2 linked regions of the Sus scrofa genome follow. The protein of the gene in region 1 purifies or fractionates together with the protein of each later gene. This does not show direct contact. Links are inferred from orthologs where the notes say so. Each region holds a gene or a part of one and is shown on either strand. Other genes may lie near its edges. The genes, in order: TAP1 and TAPBP.

Evidence for each region.
Region 2: the proteins of TAP1 (region 1) and TAPBP purify together in Homo sapiens (co-immunoprecipitation; 6 studies listed by BioGRID and IntAct, with this or other methods). This does not show direct contact. The link is inferred for Sus scrofa from reciprocal best matches to the Homo sapiens genes TAP1 and TAPBP.

The regions. Positions count from the first base shown.
Region 1 is NC_010449.5:25,065,484-25,069,146, reverse strand, and holds part of TAP1 (antigen peptide transporter 1), read left to right. Parts: intron 1-344; coding exon 345-550; intron 551-975; coding exon 976-1,173; intron 1,174-2,235; coding exon 2,236-2,364; intron 2,365-2,535; coding exon 2,536-2,724; intron 2,725-3,538; coding exon 3,539-3,663. UniProt on the Homo sapiens protein: ABC transporter associated with antigen processing. In complex with TAP2 mediates unidirectional translocation of peptide antigens from cytosol to endoplasmic reticulum (ER) for loading onto MHC class I (MHCI) molecules.
Region 2 is NC_010449.5:29,670,619-29,675,222, reverse strand, and holds the start of TAPBP (tapasin), read left to right. Parts: upstream 1-1,769; 5' UTR 1,770-2,580; coding exon 2,581-2,620; intron 2,621-2,760; coding exon 2,761-2,931; intron 2,932-3,152; coding exon 3,153-3,413; intron 3,414-4,604. Other genes in the region: ZBTB22 (zinc finger and BTB domain-containing protein 22), read left to right, coding at 1-1,617. UniProt on the Homo sapiens protein: Involved in the association of MHC class I with transporter associated with antigen processing (TAP) and in the assembly of MHC class I with peptide (peptide loading).

The sequences.
Region 1 (3,663 bases):
CGCGGCATATGGAGGTTCCCAGGCTAGGGGTCGAATTGGAGCTGTAGCCACCGGCCTACGCCAGAGCCACAGCAACGCGGATCCGAGCCAAGTCTGCAACCTACATCACAGCTCACAGCAACGCCGGATCGTTAACCCACTGAGCAAGGGCAGGGATCGAACCCGCAACCTCATGGTTCCTAGTCGGATTCGTTAACCACTGCGCCGCGACGGGAACTCCTTTTCCTGACCTTCTTAGAACACTGTGTTGATGCCCTTCGCTGTGGCACCTGGCTCATTGCTCGTCGCTCCCATCACTCTGAGCCTCCTGTTCACTCCACTCTCTTCTCTTGAACCCTTGGCAGGTGCCATCACATCTCGGGTAACAGAGGACACATCCACTGTGAGTGTGTCTCTGAGTTCGGAGCTGAGCCTCTTGCTGTGGTACCTCGCACGGGGACTGTGTCTCTTAGGGCTCATGCTCTGGGGGTCACCTCCCCTCACCATGGTCACCCTGGCCGCCTTGCCACTGCTTTTCCTTCTGCCTGAGAAGCTGGGGAAATGGCACCAGGTATGTCTAGGGAGTTGCCTCAACCTACACTGACCCTCATCCCAGACTTGGTGGGCTCAGATCCCTTTCCTGGCACCTTCACTGGTTCTCCTCTTTGTGGGACTCCTTGTCCCTGTCGTCCATGTTCCCAGATTGCTCAGTGTTGATCTTCACATCCCTTGTGTCTTCTCTTCTAATGCCTGCCCACAATCTGTCTTTAAGAACATGATCACCCATCTCAAGAATATGCTCCCCTACGACGCTTCTAAGTCATTTTCCTCTTCTCTGTATCCTTTAGTATCTGGGGGCCTGGCTGTGTCCCTTTGTCCCCTTGCCTTCCCTCTGCCACGTCTCACCTTTAAACTCTAATCGGATAACTCAGGTACTAGTGTCCCCTATGGTTTGTCAACAATCATGTGTGGCATCTCTGGTCCACGTCTCCACAGGTGCTGGCAGCACAGGTGCAGGAATCTCTGGCAAAGTCAAGCCAGGTGGCCATTGAGGTTCTGTCAGCTATGCCTACTGTCCGGAGCTTTGCCAATGAAGAGGGTGAGGCCCAGAAGTTCAAGCAAAAGCTGCAGGACATGAAGACACTCAACCAGAAGGAGGCCCTGGCCTATGCGGTCGACCTCTGGACCACCAGTGTGAGCACCTGCAGATGACTGCCTAGTCCCTTGTCCCCAAGATGCCTCAATGCCATTCCCTTTCCCATGACCCTGCTCCACACTCTTCCTCCACTGCCCAGTGGTTGGTTCAGTGGCCATATTCTAACAACCGGAGGCTCAGTCACCCTACTCACTGTTCCTAACCCCCTCCCCCCTTTTTAGGCGTGCTAGATGGCTTCCTTTCACTACGGTACACAAAAATCCACCCAACCCTCTCTTTAGGGAAGTGTTTTCCAAGGCCTTCTTTTGCCTCAAGGGGGTGCTCAGAGGACTATAAATTCTGGCACCCTGTCCCGTTTCATGCTGACACTACATGGATGCTAGTGAGAGTCCTGGGAGTAGCAGAAGCAAGGATGAGGGGCACCTGTGATGTAACCGAAAGCGAACACGACCAGCCATCAAGTTCCTATCACGATGCTGCCATTTTCCGGCTCTGTGACCAGGGGCTGGTGACTTCACTTCTCTGAGACTGTTTTCTCAGTTTTAAAAATGGCAGTGACCTAACCTTGTTTATGGGGCTTTTGATGCGACTATTAGATGACATTACATTCATGAAAGCCTTTTGTGCAGAGTAAATGCTTCCCAGACAAGGTGATAATGGTGATGGTAATAACGATTGGCTTCTTTTCTGTATAACTGAGTGAGACTCCGTGGCATTGCTATGGTTCATTCCTTTTTTTTGTTTATTTGTTTGTTTTTGCTTTTTAGGGCTGTACCTGAGGCATTTGGAGTTTCCCTGGCAAGGGGTCCAGTCGGAGCTACGGCTGCCAGCCTACCCTAGAGCTACAGCCACAGCAACACTAGATCCGAGCCACATCTTTGACCTACACCACAGCTCATGGCAACACCCGATCCTTAACCCACTGAGCGAGGCCAGAGATCGAACCCGCAACCTCCTGGTTCCTAGTTGGATTCGTTAACCACTGAGCCACGACGGGAACTCCAAGAACTTCTTATCTCCTTAATGCTAATGATTCTGCTTCTCTGCAGCCCCTCTAGATTTTTCTACAAAAGTCCCTTTTCTGTGTGGTCTCTCCACAGATCTCAGGGATGTTGCTGAAGGTGGGAATCCTGTATGTTGGCGGGAAGCTGGTGGCAGGTGGGGCTATAAGCAGCGGAAACCTCGTCACATTTGTTCTCTACCAGATCCAGTTCACCGAAGCTGTTCAGGTGAGGTCCTTCCATTCTCACATCCCAGGGCTTTTCCCTCCCCTGTCCCATCACCATCTGAGTCACCTTCCTTCCATGCTTTGCCCTTCTCACATCACATAATCCTGGCAGGCAGATTAGGTCCCTCCCCCACTACCTCCTCCCATCTCACTATTCATACCTCCCCTCCAGGTACTGCTGTCCACCTACCCCAGGGTACAGAAGGCTGTGGGCTCCTCAAAGGAAATATTTGAGTATCTGGACCGAATCCCTCGCTGCCCGGCCAGTGGATCGTTGACTTCCTTAAAGTCAGAGGGGCTTGTCAAGTTCCAGAATGTCTCCTTTGCCTACCCGAACCGACCAGAGGTCCCAGTGCTGCAGGTACAACCCACCAACCCCTGCACTCCACCAATCTTCCTCTCAGCTCGATCTGAATCGTCTTCCTGCCTTCAGTCTGCTTAACATCAGGTGTAGCTAGATCCTTCTTTACCCTTCAGAGGCAAAGATGAGCATCATCTGTTCCATAAAATTGCCCCAAACTCAAGACCTAGTTTGGATTTCCAGGGAGGACAGGAAAGGAGGCTTTCAGGGAGAAGGCTGTCATATCCTAAGGAACTGCTGCAAAATCTGTGTATCCATCTGGTCTTCCATCTTTCCTTTTTCTTGCCTTTTTTCTTCCTTTTTTTAATGGTCACACTGGGCCAGGAGCTGAACGCCTGCATCACAGCCACAGCAACACCGGCTCTGAGCCACTTCTGTGACTGAACGGGGCAGCTGCAGCCACACCAGATCCTTAACCCACTGGGCGAAGCCAAGGATTGAACCTGTATCCTCACGGACACTATGTCAGGGTCTTAACCTCCTGAGCCACAACAGGAACTCCTCCTTTTTCTTTCCATTTGTGATTTCAAATGTGATTTTTTTTTTCTTTTTTTCTCCTGGTCTCTGAGATTGAGTGTGCGGCATGGTCTTTGCCCTGGTCTTTGTCTCTTCTTCCATCTCTAGTCCACGGGGAGGTGGCATCGCTGAGGAGCAGAAGTCTGTGCATGTGGGAGGGTAGGAGTTGCTGTGTTTCTCCACTTTCCTCTTTTCTTCTCTGGGGTGAGACACTGACAAAACAATGGGCCAAGTCCATGACGCTCTTAAGGTTAGGGGCCTTGATCTGCCTCTTAGTGTGTGATTCTCTGGCCTCCAGGGCCTCACGTTCACTCTACGTCCTGGTGAGGTGACCGCCCTCGTGGGGCCCAATGGGTCTGGGAAGAGCACCGTGGCTGCCCTGCTGCAGAACCTGTACCAGCCCACGGAGGGGCAGGTGCTGCT
Region 2 (4,604 bases), about 4.6 Mb from region 1:
CCCGGAGCCTTCGAGACTGTGTTGGCTTCAGCTTACACTGGCCGGCTCAGCATGGCCGCTGCCGACATTGTCAACTTCCTCACAGTGGGGTCTGTGCTCCAGATGTGGCACATCGTGGACAAGTGCACTGAACTCCTCCGAGAGGGCCGGGCTTCAGCCACCACCACCACCGTCACTACTGCTGCAGCAACATCCGTCACTGTCCCTGGTGCAGGGGTCCCCCCCGGGAGTGGGGGCAGTGTAGCCCCTGCTGCTGTGGGCTCCGTGCGCTCTCATGCCTCCAGCCGGGCCAGTGAGAATCAGTCCCCCAGCAGCAGCAACTACTTCAGCCCCCGGGAGTCCACTGATTTCTCCTCTTCATCCCAAGAGGCTTTTGCGGCTTCTGCAGTGGGCAGCGGGGAGCGTCGAGGTGGTGGCCCTGTGTTCCCAGCCCCGGTGGTTGGCAGTGGAGGGGCTACCTCTGGGAAGCTGCTGCTGGAGGCAGATGAGCTGTGTGATGATGGCGGGGATGGGAGGGGGGCGGTGGTCCCTGGGGCTGGGCTCCGGCGGCCGGTCTATGCACCCCCCAGCATCGTACCACAGAAACACTGGGTGTACGTGAAGCGGGGTGGAACCTGCCCCGCACCAGCACCCCTGGCTCCCCAAGACCCAGACCTGGAGGAAGATGAGGAGGAGGAAGACTTGGTGTTGACCTGTGAGGATGATGAAGATGAAGAGCTGGGGGGTGGCTCCCATGTTCCACCAGGGGGAGAACCTGAGACGACCCTTAGCATTAGTGATGTCCGGACCCTGTCTGAGCCTCCAGACAAGGGAGAGGAGCAGGTCAATTTCTGTGAGTCCTCCAATGACTTTGGCCCCTATGAGAGTGGGGGTCCCGGAGGGGGGCTTGAGGATTCAGGGGGACCAACCCCTTCCTCCTATGCTCCCTCCCACCCTCCTAGGCCCCTGCTTCCGCTGGACATGCAGGGCAACCAGATCCTAGTCTTCCCATCCTCTTCATCCACCTCCTCCTCCTCCTCACAGGCTCCAGGCCAGCCACCAGGGAACCAAACTGAACACGGGGCTGTGACGCTGGGGGGCGCGTCAGCAGGGGCCCTGGGCATGCCGGGTGGCACTGGTGGGACCCCTGGAGGAACAGGCAGTGGGGATGGAAATAAGATCTTTCTGTGCCACTGCGGGAAGGCCTTCTCCCATAAGAGCATGCGCGATCGGCACGTGAACATGCACCTGAACCTGCGGCCCTTTGACTGCCCCGTGTGCAACAAGAAGTTCAAGATGAAGCATCACCTGACGGAGCACATGAAGACTCACACAGGCCTCAAGCCCTACGAGTGCGGCGTCTGCGCCAAGAAGTTCATGTGGCGAGACAGCTTCATGCGCCACCGGGGACACTGTGAGCGCCGGCACCGCCTAGGTGGGGGCGGGGCCGGGGCCGGGGCTGGGGCGGGACCCGGGGGGCCCACCGGGCCAGCCGTGCAACCCAAGAGAGAGTCTCCAGGCCGGGGCAGCGGCGACGAGGCGAGTGGGACCACGCCCCCGCCCAGCCGACGGGTCTGGTCCCCGCCCAGTGTCCATAAGGTGGAAATGGGCTTCGGTGGGGGCGGAGGAGCAAACTGAAGAGGCGGGCTACTGGGGGTAGCCTGCGAAGGAGGGAAGAGGAACGGGAGCCAGGGGCCCTGTGGCTCTTACGTGGTGTCCCCACACACCTACTGTCTTCCTATCTCAATAGACTTGTACATATTCTGGAGTTGGGACCGCGTTGCACCACGGATCACCCCTTTCCACTCTGCAGCCCCTCCTCCCCAAAGTATCCCCAAACCCAGCCCTTCGTCCCCCTCAGATGGGTACACTGAAGCCCCAGCCCCAGAGTAGAATAGGGCGCACTCGGTGGGGAGTGGGGAGGGAGAGGGGGCTAGTGGAGCATCCTGGAGTCGCTGGGTCAAGGGTCAGGTGGTTGTAGTCTGTACCTGAAGTCTGTGTTTGTGTTGTTGTGGGGACCAGGTCTTTGAGCCCCACCCTTGTCCTGGAACATACCCTGTCCCTCAAAGGATGTGCCCCTTATTTCCACCCTAACCTCTCCTCCCCCACCTTGGCGTCCCCCACCTTGATTCTCACTGGGGAGGGGGGAGTGAAGACAAGGAGGGAGTAAGTTGTAGGAGTTTTTATTTTAAATCTTATTTTTTTTAAATGGTGATTAAAATATTTATTGGTCATTTCACTTGGCTTCCCGACACCCCCTATGTGTTTGCTGGGGACTTGGCACAGGTGGGGGATGGTGGAGGGATGGTTCTCAGGGAAGGGGATTCTGGCGGAGAGGAAGGGGGAGCCCAGAGGGCGGGAGGGCTCCGGACTTTGTGGTGTTGGGTGGTCCAGGAGGGCGGGGGGGGGGAGTGGGTGCGACTGAGGTCCCCAGACCAGAACTGGAGAGGAGGTTCCGGTGCAGCCTGCGGGGAAGCACCTGCCTCCCCCGCCTTCACCTAACCCGAGCGGGGATTTCCTCCGTCCCACCTGCGGCCTTTGGAGGAAAGTGAAAGTGAAAGGGGGAAGAGGAGGCTGCGGAGCTGAGAGGATCGCGACGCCATGAAGCCTCTGTCTCTGCTCCTCTCTGTAGTAGCTTTGGGTGAGCTAACCCCGCGACTCTCTGCTCAGAGAAGCGGTGGGAGGTGACCCCGCCACGGCAGGGGTGGGGGGTAGGGGGTGGGGAGAGGTCAGACCACCTGATATTGGGGCCAACACCTCACCCGCACCCTTCCACCCCAGGCTTGGCGTCCACCGTCTCGGCGGGTCCCGCGGTGATCGAGTGCTGGTTCGTGGAGGATGCGGGCCGGGGCCAGCTGTCCAAGAAACCCGCTGCCCTGCTGCTGCGCCAGGGCCCCGGGAGCCCACCTCCTCGGCCGGACCTCGAGCCAGAGCTCTACCTCAAAGTGCACGGTGAGCCTTCCCCGACTCGCTCCCAATTCCGTCGCCTCCACCGAAAGCCTCTCCTCTTTGGGTCTTGTAGTGTCCGCGGGCCTGTTTCCTCCTCCGTAAAATGAAGCTGGAATACCTGTGAATCGCTCACTACCGGGTGGTTTGCCGGTTTGAAATCCCGCCTTCCTGCCCCTTTGCTGGCGGCGACTCTACAGTTACACCTCCCTTCTCTGCTCTCACAGACCCTGCGGGAGCCCTCCTAGCCGCCTTCAGGCAGTACCCCCGGGACGCCCCCGCGCCACGCTGCGAGATGAGCCACTATATCCCGCTCCCCGCCTCGCCCGACTGGGTCAGCGGCTTGACTCCGGAGCAGAGGTGCCCGCGGGCCCTGGACGGGAAGTGGCTAATGGTCAGTATGTCCAGCCCGGTACTCAGCCTTTCCAGCTTCCTTCAGCCGCAGTCTGAGCCTCAGCTGGAGCCTGCTCTCATCACCATGGCAACAGGTAGCTAAGGAGGGGAAGTGGAAATAAATGGGTACATTCTAAGGGTCCAGAAAAGCCGGTTCCCCAGTGGGGTCTCAGTTTCCTTATTTGTAGATCCAGGCAGTTCAGCTAAAATTTAGCTATACCTACTGCTGCCTCTAGGCCCAGCCCAGTTTTTTTAAAGACTTGCGGCTTGGGGCGGGGCTTCGCAGTATTCCGGGGGCGGGGCTTTGGGGGGGTGGGGCGATGGGTCTTGGAGTGTCTCGGGAGAAGGAATTTTTCTCCTTTCCCGCCTAGATCTTGCTAGGTGCCCCCTCCTTTGCGGTTCGCTTAGTTTAGACATCCTTGGCAGATAGCTAAGCACGGGCTCTTGAGCACAAGCTTCTTGACCTCCCCGACAGCTCCTTGTGAGGACGTGTTGACCCTGTGGTCACCAAATAGTGGGCTTGAGTGCATGGAAGAGAGGAGGCGGGAGAGCAGATGGTTCCAGCTGCAAGGACCACTTATTGCATCATGCTACGCAATTTGGGGTCCAGGGGTCAGGGTTGGGCGCAGAGAGGGAGTGGGTGGAAAATGCAAGAGTAGGGAAGATCTGACCTGTCCAGGACTTGGAATTTCTAGGAACTATTCTGTGGACGGTGGGCAGGATATAAACAGAGTCCTTGGCTTCCTTCAGGCTTAAGCAATTTTGTGGAAACAATACAACTTGACCAGCCTGGGTTGGTCAAGCCCAGCTGAACCCTACACCCTCCATTTGCCAGGAGTCCCTACACCCACAGGGCTCAGTGCCCACCCTGCAACCCTGACCTGCACCTACACCTCCATTCTCAGTCCCCAGACGTGGACAGGGGCAGAGGCGAGCCGCTTATTCTGGCAACAGTATTCCGAGTAGGTAGGAATATTTCTCAGGCTGTTGGCTTCCCAAGGTGGGGGTGAGAGAATGTCCTTTTCTCTCTGAGTCTGCTTTTCCAGCTCTAAAATGTGGTTGGTATTTCCCATCTCCCTTTCCGTTGTTGTGACGATTAAGGGAGACACTTTGTTAATTTATTTACTGATTAAATAAATATTTATTAGCACCAAGAATAAATTAGCGGAGTTCCCGTCGTGGCGCAGTGGTTAACGAATCCGACTAGGAACCATGAGGTTGCGGGTTCGGTCCCTGCCCTTGCTCAGTGGGTTAATGATCTGGCGTTGCCGTGAGCTGTGGTGTAG